3 linked regions of the Rattus norvegicus genome follow. The protein of the gene in region 3 binds, or shares a complex with, the protein of the main gene of each other region. Links are inferred from orthologs where the notes say so. Each region holds a gene or a part of one and is shown on either strand. Other genes may lie near its edges.

Evidence for each region.
Region 1: the proteins of Ap3m1 (region 3) and Ap3b1 are in contact, whole or in part, in a cryo-EM structure (PDB 9C5A), measured with the Homo sapiens proteins. The link is inferred for Rattus norvegicus from reciprocal best matches to the Homo sapiens genes AP3M1 and AP3B1. Residues at the interface, in NP_001307192.1 of Homo sapiens: Met1, Phe15, Leu16, Glu17, Trp20, Lys21, Ser22, Val23, Gln26, Val42, Glu43, Asn44, Val45, Pro46, Pro47, Val48, Ser50, Tyr55, Ser58, Ile59, Tyr60, Gln71, Thr72, Glu73, Val74, Pro75, Pro76, Leu77, Phe78, Ile80; in NP_003655.3 of Homo sapiens: Leu60, Lys64, Val67, Gly68, Ile70, Ala71, Lys72, Gly73, Ile92, Glu93, Lys96, Leu97, Val100, Arg104, Glu107, Asn128, Gln129, Leu130, Arg137, Arg143, Ser163, Pro164, Tyr165, Lys168, Asn169, His172, Gln175, Lys176, Leu202, Ser206.
Region 2: the proteins of Ap3m1 (region 3) and Lamp1 are in contact, whole or in part, in a cryo-EM structure (PDB 9C5A), measured with the Homo sapiens proteins. The link is inferred for Rattus norvegicus from reciprocal best matches to the Homo sapiens genes AP3M1 and LAMP1. Residues at the interface, in NP_001307192.1 of Homo sapiens: Glu178, Tyr180, Phe181, Asp182, Gln381, Val389, Asn390, Arg391, Leu392, Phe402, Lys403, Gly404, Val405, Lys406; in NP_005552.3 of Homo sapiens: Ser410, His411, Gly413, Tyr414, Gln415, Thr416, Ile417.

The regions. Positions count from the first base shown.
Region 1 is NC_086020.1:27,449,855-27,453,500, reverse strand, and holds part of Ap3b1 (AP-3 complex subunit beta-1), read right to left. Parts: intron 3,379-3,646; coding exon 3,234-3,378; intron 827-3,233; coding exon 673-826; intron 1-672. UniProt on the Homo sapiens protein: Subunit of non-clathrin- and clathrin-associated adaptor protein complex 3 (AP-3) that plays a role in protein sorting in the late-Golgi/trans-Golgi network (TGN) and/or endosomes.
Region 2 is NC_086034.1:83,072,263-83,076,576, forward strand, and holds the start of Lamp1 (lysosome-associated membrane glycoprotein 1 precursor), read right to left. Parts: upstream 2,802-4,314; 5' UTR 2,699-2,801; coding exon 2,653-2,698; intron 2,647-2,652; exon of another isoform or gene 54-2,646; intron 1-53. UniProt on the Homo sapiens protein: Lysosomal membrane glycoprotein which plays an important role in lysosome biogenesis, lysosomal pH regulation, autophagy and cholesterol homeostasis.
Region 3 is NC_086033.1:3,302,648-3,306,293, forward strand, and holds part of Ap3m1 (AP-3 complex subunit mu-1), read left to right. Parts: intron 1-151; coding exon of another isoform or gene 152-154; coding exon 155-427; intron 428-1,103; coding exon 1,104-1,275; intron 1,276-3,646. UniProt on the Homo sapiens protein: Part of the AP-3 complex, an adaptor-related complex which is not clathrin-associated. The complex is associated with the Golgi region as well as more peripheral structures.

The sequences.
Region 1 (3,646 bases), on a different chromosome or scaffold from region 3:
TATGGAAGTGGCAGGGCGAGCTGCTTTAATTACTGTCTGTAATAAAAGGAGCAGAGAGCGTACTGCGCGCAATCAGTGCTGTCAGCCACGACTGAGCCCAAGCTGCAAGCTCATCATGGGAGTGGGCAGCAGGCCCCAGAGAAGGGCCAGGGAGTCAGCGGAGGCCACTCTGACAGCAGGGGAGGGGAAACAGAGCCACACAATCCAAGGTATTAGCCCCAATTACTCAAAATCTTAATGACGCCTTAACACATGAGGACACTGTTGATAATGGCAGATCTTGAAAAGCACCAACCCTTAAGTATCTTCTGACCGTCTTCCTTCACAGCCTTTGACTCTGATATTTGGATCCTAATTTTTTAATGTAACATTATTTAGAAAAATCAATTGTCTTGGTTACATAATGGCAAAGTGCTGGAGGATTTAATTTTAGCCCTCAGCAAAATTGCTGCAAAGGGTAATTAAGTGTTTCATCTTCTGCTTATCCTTAAGGCCGTCTTCCAAGGTGAAAATGCACCCTAAGATCTGCTCAGGTCCAAAACGGAACCCAAGCACGGAACCCAAGTCAAGGCTTAACATCTGTTTTGGAGAAAATACACGGGCGTTTCTGACTGAGAATTAAGGAAAAATAGTAACTCTGGGGAACCTCTGGAGGAAAACTGACTGCATCACCTTTTCCTCTTGGTTTTGGAGTTCGTCTTGGCCACCCTCTGGTGTTCTGCTTCTGCCTCGCTTCCGGTCTCGCTGTCTTGTCCACTGGAGGAGTCCTCGCTGCTGTCCTCGCTGCTGCTGCCTGAGTCTCCACTCTCACGTCCAGACCCACTCTCTGCAAGACAGAGCAGTTTCACTTAAACCATTCAATTAGTGGAGGAGACCATAACATCGACAGCGACAGAGGGAAACGAGGTACTGCCTTAGGAGGACCTCGTCTGCTCAGAGGCAGTCGGGAAGGACTCACACAGAAGGCGAGATGAACAAGGAAACACGCCCGCCGAGAGGGTCTCTCTTTAACCTAAAGCAGCTAGCTATGGCACACCTTTGTGTTATGAAAGAAGGAATAAGAGTGGTAAAACAAAGAAATCATTTTAATCTTCCTAGGAACCAATTTTGAGAGAGAAAAGAGCTTTTAAGTCATTCCCCAAAAATGTCTAAGTTTATAAGCAGAAACTAAGAGTTTTGACTTACTTTTGCTAGCCTGAGCTAACATAGCATGCCTGTGTTCCTGCAGAGGTGATGAATGACGATCTGGGCATGATGGAGCACACCTGTAGCTCAAGGATTCAGGAGGCTGAGGCAGGATGAATAAGCTTGAGTTCAGGGCCAGCCTGGGCTACATGTGGGTCATTCTCTCAAAATACATATATATTGGTGTATGTAGTAAAATGCAGCCTAATTTTCACTATTACACATGACCTTAGGTGCAGAGCTGTACAGTAAATCAAAGGGCAGCCCACTGCCCTGCTCATCACCCACAGAGTGAAGTGCCCCCAGCATACACAACCTGAGGGTAAACGCTGCTCCCACACCTGCTTCGGGGCATTCCTTTCTATGCCACGGTGCAAAGCCAGGATGGCTGGGTTCTCCCGTGAGAGGCCCAGGTTCAAATCTTGGCTAAGCCACTCCCCAGCTCTAAGACTGCAAGTTACACAACCTCTGACTCCCAGTTTCCTTTTCAGCAAGGGAAATACTTCAGAGCCGTTGGGGCAAGCACATGAGTCGAAGCATGCGCAACAGGACTGGCGCACAGCAAGGCACCTGCCGTAACATCCTCCACAACCTACCCGAACAGAGCTTCTACACAGAGAGCTGCGATCTGCTGTGCAACCAGAGAGAGACAGACAGACAGACAGATGGACAGACAGGACAGAGAAATATAACTGATTCATACTAGAAATAAAAAAAAGAAATTACAGGGCTGAGAGGTGGTTCAGTGGATAAAGTGCTTGCTGCACAAGCACGAGAAGCTGTATTTGGCTCCCAGCACCCAGCACGTGTGAAGGCAAGCATGGTGGTGCTCATGGAGTGTTTGGCAGAGGTGGACAGATGGAGGGTCGCTGGTGCTCATTAGTCAGCTTAGGAAAAAACAGTGAAAGACTGCCTCAAAAACTGAGGTGCGAGGCTGAGAGACAGCGCTTGCTGCGAAGCTGAGTTTGACCCCTTAGAACTGATCCCTTCAAGGTGGCCTCTTATCTCTACACAAGTGCCAAGAATTGTGCCTCTCTCCCACACCTGTAAATGAATATATGTAACCAAAATTTGAAAAAGAGAGACATGTGACATTGACATCTGGCCTCTACACATGCATGCACAGGTGAATGTTCTCACCTCACACACAGGCACACAGCATTCCCACCCACCCACCATCCAACCCTCACGCAAAGAAAAAGGGAGCAGGCAAACAGCATCAAATTCATCCACTGCCTGTCACCACATGGGACTCAATGGCAAGCTGTGTCCAGCTAATCGGATGCAGCTATTTCCCTCTGGGCGTACAGAAGAACCCCTCTCAGTCCTGTGTACTCAGACAACCTCATCAGGAGCCACTGAGGTGAGAGAACGCCATAAGGATGTTGAACAACGCTAACCTGGGCACAGGCTTGTAAACAACTTACATATTTTCTATGTTAACTTTTGGGTTGAGGTATTTGGCTTATTATAGAAGAAGACAATGTATGGGGTTAATTTATCAGCTATTACAAAGCTTTTCAGAGGGCGGGTGAGAAGGAGGTAGAGAACTCGGACACAGCTTGGGCCAGACTGCCACCGTGTCACACTTTTGACTTGTGACTCAAACATGTCCACTAATGTAAATCACACGCAGAATTTTAGTTATAAAGTTTTGGGTTTGCTTTCATTTTAGTTTTACTTTTTTTTTGGTCTTCCAAGACCATGTGTAGCCATGGCTGTTCTGAAACTGTCTCTGTTGACCATGCTGGCCTCGATCGAGTGTAGTGCACTCGGCCTCCTAAGTGCTGGGAGTAAGGTGTGCTTTAAAGTCTCCTCCCCAGCTCTCAGCTGGGAAAGTAGGTGCCTCGCTTAGTGGTGCAGCTGAAGCGGGGATTCTCAGTCCAGGCCTAGATGCTTTCTTCAGTACACACTGCTCTCAACTTCCTTCCTAGTTCTGAAAGTAAATCCTGAGATGTCTTTAGTTTAGTAACAGACTGGAGGGAGAAAGAGAGGAAAAGATAAGGGCATCTTATGTGACAATACACTTCAATTATTATAAAGCCCACCACTGTCACTGCTGCTATCAGAGGGATCCTCCTCCTCATCTTCTTCATCTTCCTCTTCTTCCTCCTCCTCCTCCTCAGATTCTGAATAAAATTTCTTCTCAGGTTTTTCTTTCTTTGTTTTTCCAAGTGGGGTCCACTCTTTTGCCTGTTTATATAAACAAAGGAAACATTAATGAATTCTTATTACAGGACGCAGACTCCTGGCAAGTTCACTGTGAACTCAGAAGAGAAGTTTGAGACTTTCATAGAGAAACCAAGTGCTAGACATGTAGTCCTGACAGGAAAGGTATCCATTCCAAACACAGAATATATATTCTCATTCAGAGCCCACTGTTACGTCACTCACATTATACTCCCAGACTGTTAAACAATGTGTTTGTTGGTCCACAGAAGACTTAACCTACAGTAACAAG
Region 2 (4,314 bases), on a different chromosome or scaffold from region 3:
CTGTCAGAACACCTCAGTTCTCACCATCCCACCAAAAACTCCTGCTACTTAACCACTTTTGTTGGGGGCTTTCTTCTTTGCCCAGCAAGCCCTGCTTAACAAGTACTTGTGACACTTTCACTTTGTGACAAGTACTGCTTAAAGTACTTTTCAGTTAAATTACTATGGCAACCTGAAAAGGCTGTCACCATGACTCCCTCCTGCTGAGGTAGAAAGGCCCAGAGATAGTAGCTTGCTTTAGGGCATCAGAAGTGAGTGGCCCAGTTTGTTTGCTTCAGTGTGTGGCCTATTGACCACACTGCTTCTCCAGCGGGGTGAAGGACTGGCTGGGTAAGCCAGCCTGGATCACTTACACAGTGAGACCCTGTCTCCAGCCAACCACACCCTGAATTCAGTTTCCTGTCTAGTGATAATCACCTCTGAACATTTAAACAAATGGCCAAAGTTCTACTCCACACACTGCACTAGCTACCACCTCTAGAGGGATGGCTCCCTTCCTGCTGGCTAACTTCCATGGGTTAGGGCAAGCTAACAGAGTGTTGTGGGAGAAAGTGTCAAGAGTTCCTTCCTCTAGATTCAGTTCAGGACTACTCTGCAAACCTGCCACTTCATGAAAGCACCACACAATCTCATGTGTCAGGACTGGGGCTCTTAACAGAGCAAAGGAGACAGGCTATTCCCAGTGCAGGGGCCACAGTCTGTGTGTCCAATTAAAAGGTCAGGTTGGGCTGCAGAGATGGCTCAGAGGTTAGGAACACTGACTGCTCTTCCAGAGGTCCTGAGTTCAATCCTCAACAACCACATGGTGGCTCACAACCATCTGTAATGGGATCCAATGTCCAGAAATGTGTCTTAAGACAGTCATGGTGTTCTCATATACATAAACAAGTAAATCTTAAAAAGGGGGAAGGGGCAGGTCAATATGACAATGTCTGAATTGTGTCTAAGAGAACATAAATTCAAAATTACAAGGCCACTGAACAGCTTGACTAAAAATCTAATGAAGAATTCAAGGTCCCACAATCCAGGATAACACTAATTAGACCTCTCATTCTTCTAGACTGCTGTACAGGGCTCATCCAGAAAGGGGAAGGTCGGGGGGTCAGCACCAACAACTCCACCCCACTAAGCAAGCACGCTTACTAGTTTCAGTTCACACAAGGCTGTTTTCTATTAAGCACTTAAGCAGCTCGGAGGAGCTTTACCTAGGAACAATTAACAATTCCAGAGTTATAGAACTGGTTAAAGATAAAATTATTTTTGAAGTCACACATCTCAGATCTCCGTCAAAGTTGTTAAAGAACCTTCGTGAAAGCTGGGACGTAATTTATGGCATACAGCACTCAATGAGGGCCACAGATCTATCCTCTCCACTTTGATTTTGTTTGAAACAGTGTCTCACTCTGTAGCCCAGGTTAGCCTCCAATTCACAGAAATTCTCCCACATCAGCCTGCTAAGTGCTTGGATTACAAGCATAAGCCACCGTCCACTTTCCTTTCCTTTTCTTTTCTTTTTTTTTTTTTTACAGAAGGATTTCATTACCTAACTCAGGCTGACCCAAACTTAAAATCTCCCTGCCCCAGCCCCCAAGGTCTAACAAGTGTGAGCCACCATTGATTAGTTTTACTCATTCATTCTTTGTTTATTTATTTTATTTTTGCAACAGGGTCTCCAGTCCCGGCTGTCTTAGAACTCATTATGTAGACCAGAATGGCATGTTGAAGAGATCCCCCTGCCTCTCTAGCGTTGGGTTAAAGGTGTAAACCACTATGCCAGCCAGAGGGGAGTTTTAAAATCATGAAGAGGCCCAACCCAATGTCCCACAGCTTTATCCCAACCAGCATTTAGGAAGCAGAGGCAGCGAGAACCTGTGAGTTTGGGGACAGTATGTTCTACATGGTTGACACCCCCCCACTTTTTTTAAAGCATAAACATTATAAGGGTTTAAATTTTTTGGCAGTGTTGGATAACTCCTGCTATTTACCAAGCCCTGTGAACTCTCCTAATTACGCCATTCTGACACGACAGAACTTGTTTCAGCAACTCGGGTACTCGCGTTTACAACTACTGAACCGTGAAGGGTCACAGGTCCCTCAGCAAGGCTTCAGGTTTGAAACCGCCGAGTAAGCGCACCTCTCTCTTTCTCACAGAGACTAAAGAGTTCGTTTCATACAAACAGCAAAATAAAGAGGGAAAACAAATTCCATAAAGTCAGTCACAGGATTTTGGGGTCCGATGGGTCCTGACAGGTGCTCGGGAAATCGTGAACCTGTGCGCTCAGGTGATCTGGCCAACCACCCCTCTCCTGTCCTGCAGATGCTGGCACTGCAGCCAAACTCTGCGTTGCTGGGATACAGCGGCGAGGAAGGGCACCCCAGGCAGGGTCGGGGCAGCACCCATTCCTCTCACAAGGTAGCTCAAAGCCAGCAGCACTGCCTAGCAGGAGGTCCATCCCAGCTCCTACAGAGCGTCCCAGGCTGGGCCCGCACGGGCACCGAGGCGGCGAGCGCCACTGCGGAGCGGGCTGGCGGGCTCGAGGCCCACTCGACGCCTGCGGCCCGGGCACCCCCGTTCCCGCCCGGCCTGGCGCCCCGTTCCCGTCGGTCCCGAGACGCCGACCCCGCCCGGCTCTCCCTCCCTCCTGGGCTCACCCAGCAGCAACAGGAGCAGCGGCCGCCGGGCGCCCGGGGCCGCCATGGCGCGACGCAGCCGAGGCCGAAGGACGGCGGTTGCGCGGGCGGCGAGGCCGGCGGGAGGGCGCGTCCACCGACTCGAGAGGCCCGGCAGCTGCGGCGCCGGCACCGAGAAGACCCTGCGGCCGGCAGCGCCTGTCACGTGAACAGTGCCGCGCCCGCCGGTCACGTGAGCCGAGGGTCTCGCGAGAGCCCGCCGGCCTGCCGCTTACTCTCTTCTCCTGGAGTCTCCACTTGGCTCGTGATGGTGTCACGTGCCGATCGGCGTCACGTGGTCTCCAGGCCACGTGATGCTTAGCCATCCGTCCTTTTCCCGAGTGTTCTGAAATGGAAAGTAGGTTGTGGCTTTGAGAAAGGGAAGAATCACTGCGGGAGAAAGTGAGGATGGAAACAGGAAGCTGTGAAAGCTGGACCGGGCCCCATAGGCCAGCTGCATGGCACTGTTCAGGTCCAAGCCCCTGAAGGCCTGCAGCCCAGACGTAGGCTGGCATCTATGTCTAGGTCAATACATGGTCAGTGTTTACATATAAGGACAGTGTGCATATGTTTCCAGGTGGGTATTCACATCTAGATCCGTGCCCTAGTCCCAGGCTAGCCTCTACTTTCAGGCTCGCAGGCGATCTCTAGGCCCAGACTAGTGTCTAGGGCCAACCCCAAGTATATCCATGTCCCAATCGGTGGTCCAGGCAGAGGACAGTCCTGTAGGATATGTAGACGGTGGGAATGTGGGAAAGACACTTTTTAAAAAAGATTTATGTATATGAGTACACTGTCGCTGTCTTCAGACACACCGGAAGAGGGCGCCAAATGGGATTTCGGGCTGGAGAGATGGCTCAGAGGTTAAGAGCACTGACTGCTCTTTCAGAGGTCCTGAGTTCAATTCCCAGCAACCACATAGTGGCTCACACCATCTGTAATGGGATCTGAGGCCCTCTTCCGTTGTGTCTGAAGACAGCTGTAGTGTACTCATACATAAAATAATTCTAGAGAAGTAAATAGTTTCTAAAAAGAAAGATAGGATTTCAGTATCTATCCCTAACTGGCCTCAAGTTCAGATCTGCCTGCTTCTCCTTCCTGAGTGCTTGGATTTCATGTGTGGGCGCAGTGTTTTTTGAGCATTCCTGATGGTCGAAGATCATGTTGATGGGCATGAGTATTTCCATGAAGAATTCAATACTAAAATATCTCCCTCTTTTGTGAATGTAACACTCAAAATGTTTGTTGTTTTGGGTCATGGTGTCATCCTAAGACCCAGGTTGAGTTGGAACTTGTATGGGCCAGACTCTGGGCGGTCATTCTGTCAGGAGTGCAGTGATTATGGGTGTGTACCACCATGACATGAAGAACCCCGGCTTTTATGTTATTACCGTTTTGTTTTGGAGATAGGGTCTCTCTGTATAACCCTGACTGTCCTGGAACTCATTGTGTAGCCAGGTTGGCCTCAACACAGATTAGCCTGCCTCTGCCTTCAGTGTGCTGGGATTAAGGGCCAGTGTCACCATACCTACCTTGAAGGCCCTGAGTTTTAGCTTGAGGATTCCTCCTGTTACAGACTTTTCATTCAAGCTAAGTTCTTCCTCCTCAGAACTGTAGACCCCGTAGTAACAAAACTTAAAAACT
Region 3 (3,646 bases):
GATAGACCTCCTATTTCAGGCTGAGTGCTCCAAAGTAACTCTCTGTGCTTCATCCAGTGGTGAGTCTCTGCATTCACTGCCATCTACTGCAACTGTGCATTTTCAGAGTACAATAAGTATAACCTCCAGCCCCCTTTGTTTTCCTTCACAGAAAATGATCCACAGTCTATTTCTCATCAACTGTTCTGGCGACATATTTCTAGAAAAACACTGGAAGAGCGTTGTAAGCCAATCTGTGTGTGACTATTTCTTTGAAGCTCAGGAGAAAGCTGCTGATGTTGAAAATGTACCACCTGTCATTTCAACACCTCACCACTACCTCATTAGTATCTACCGGGATAAGCTCTTCTTTGTGTCTGTGATACAGACTGAAGTGCCACCTCTCTTTGTAATTGAGTTTCTGCATCGAGTTGCTGACACTTTTCAGGTTTGTATCTGTCAAACTGTTGAAACTAAATCACCCAAGATAGTTCAAGGAGACAGACAGACAGACACACACACACACACACACACACACACACAAACACACACACACTGGTTATTGAAGTTTCTGTGTACTGTCTGACTTCTCTTTGCAACTAAACATATCTCATAAACACGTGCTGAGGGTATACGGTAGCACACATCGCCACTCTACTCATTGTTTTTTATGTGCGGCAAATTATATCATGAGGAGACAGGAGTGCCCTCCAACAAGTATTCTCTGGATCATCACAAAGTTTTTATTGATCATGAGATCCTTTATATTTCTGTTGTCTATTTCCTATTGTTTTGACGAGTAAACCAAATGGCTTAAAGCTCTGTAAGTGTGTGGGTGTGGGTTAATAGGGCAAATGAAGTTTATGCCTCACATTCCAGATTAATGTCTCAGTACTTTCTGGCATGATATAGTAGGAATCAGCTCAGTATAAATACAATAAGAAAATATTGAAGAGAAATGTTAGGACTTCCATAGAGAATTTTTTTCAAGCCTATATATTTCTAGCCTCATTAACCATGAGTTAACCTACTATTAGTTTACTCCAGTAGTTTACAAAGGGGATTAAGAACAGCAAGCCTTCCTCCCTGCCTTCTCTTGTTCAACACCATGACTGTTTTGTTAGGACTACTTTGGTGAGTGTTCAGAGGCTGCAATTAAGGATAATGTGGTCATAGTGTATGAGCTCTTGGAAGAAATGTTAGACAATGGATTCCCACTGGCTACCGAATCTAACATTCTGAAAGAACTGATTAAACCACCAACAATTCTACGTTCTGTCGTCAATTCTATTACAGGTATGAAAAATGAAAACACTGCTAGGAACTGATCCATTGAAACTGTATGAACAGCTCATTTTGCTCATATGACAGACTATTAGGGCAGTCCAGTTTGGCCAAAATTAAAGTTAACAATAATGTTTAAATGAATGTATATCTCTTCTCTCTCTCTCTCTCTCTCTCTCTCTCTCTCTCTCTCTCTCTCTCGGTGTGTAAGTGTGTGTGCACATGAATGCACACATGCCATAGTGTACACATAGAGGTCAGAAGACAGTGAGAGTTGGTTCTCCCCCTCTACCACATGCAATCTGGAGATTGAATCAGGTCCTAAGGCATAGCATCAAATGCCTTTACCCACTGGCCCATCTGGCCAGGCCCCCTTTTCTTTTGGAAGGTGGAGAACAGTAACAGAAACAGATAATATGTCAGGTGCAGCTCACATGTGTAATCATATCACTTGGGAATTGCTAAGTTCAGGGCCAATTTGGTATATAGAATGAGAAATTTGTTTTGTTTTGTTTATTGAAAGAGGCTCAGTCTTGAAGGACAAAGGACTTTTAGGGTTATACAGCTCATTTTCCTGTTGCTGGGTTCAATGCACAATACTTCAGAGAAAGAAAAACTAGTCAGTAGAAAATTAGATCATTAGTAGATGTCATGCATATTGGGCCTTATGCTTTTTTATAAATAAGCTTTCAATTGGGTATAATTCTAGGCCATATCTAGAAATTCAGTATATTCAGTTCATCCTTCGATTAAATCTACAAAAAGCGGGCATGGTGGCACAAGCCTTTAATCCTAGCATTCAGGAGAATTTGAGACCAGCCTAGTCTACAGAGTGAGTTCCAGGCTAGCCAGAGCTACATAATGGGATTCCATGCAAAAGAAAAAAAAGTCTAATAAAGGAAGATTCTTACTGAATGCTATATACCTCTCCAGCCAAATCTCTGGTTGTCCTTTTAACGTTGGGGAATTACACTCTGGGAAAACGGTTTAAATAAGAGCACTGTGGTATTTCATGGACACTGTAGTGAGGCACTGCAGATCTCTCACAGTACGAAGTGTGTTTGGTGGGGGAAACAGTACAAACTCGATAGATACATAGGTAGGTAGGTAGGTAGGTAGGTAGGTAGGTAGGTAGGTAGGTAGACAGACAGACAGAGAGATAAGTAGGTAGACAGACAGGCAAGCAGACAGACAGAGAGAGAGATATTTACAAAGAGAAAAATGCTAAAATGTTCACATTGACTATTTTTAGCTAAGGAGCCAGCCATCCTCATTTTTGCCGTATATGTTTTAAAATATATATTATGAATGTGTGCATGTGCATGGAGGACATTAGGTGTCATGTTCTGTTGCTCTCACCCGAGTTCTTTGTTGAGGAGAAGAGGTCCTCTGAACCTGGAGCTAGGTTGGCTCCCAGCCCTAGCCATGTGCGGCACATAGCCACATCCATCTTTTTATGTGTGTCCGGGGATCTGGCAGGTCCTCATGTCTGTATAGCAAGCACTTTTATCCACTGAGCCATCTCTCCAGCCCATTTCATACTTTTTAACTTTTAAGAAAAAAAATGGATAGGAAAAAATTACTAATGTGTAGTGTAAAACTATAGCATGGGATGATGACATATAAGAGAATTGTTCAGGCTGGATGTGGTGTGCACACCTGTTATCCCAACTACTAGGGCAACTAAAGGAGAGCAGTTGTAAGTTCACGGATACAGAGTCTTGATTATTAAACTAAAACCCTGAGTCTGTTTCCTAGTGCCACACCTATGTACACATACCAAAGAATGGTTCAATAGTTGAAGTAATCTTTCTTGAACTACCAAGTGGCCCTAGCACAGGACCCAGCAGAATCAGTAGAATGTGGAGTAAGATAAGTAAGAGCACTTATGAGGAAAATACACATAAAGTGGGAGGCTGAGCTGTGTCAGCCCCTCGAGCAGAAGTAGAGCTGTTCATAACTGAGCGCTGAAGGACATTCGGAGAAGGTGCAATTGGCCTACGCCTCTTCCCGTCCCAGCAGGACAGGAAGCCAAGATGGGAGAACACTTGTGCTGGGCCTAAAAAAAACATTTAACTTTTATCAGAAAACAAGCAGGGAGCACTAAAGGTTTCTGAACAGGGAAATAATATGATTAAAGCAGTGTTTTTCTAAAACACTTGGAAAGTAACAGGCTGGAGACAGGATCACCAGCAATAAATAGACTAAAACTAATGTTAATCTTGTTAGCTGCACACACTTCTCTAGCATTTGGGGGGCTGATGTGGGAGGATCCCCAGTTCTAAGCCATCCTGGACTATACACATATCTTGTCTTTAAAAACTAATCTAGAGTGGAATGTATTGTGTTGCTGTGTAGTCAAGAATGACTGAATTTGCAATCC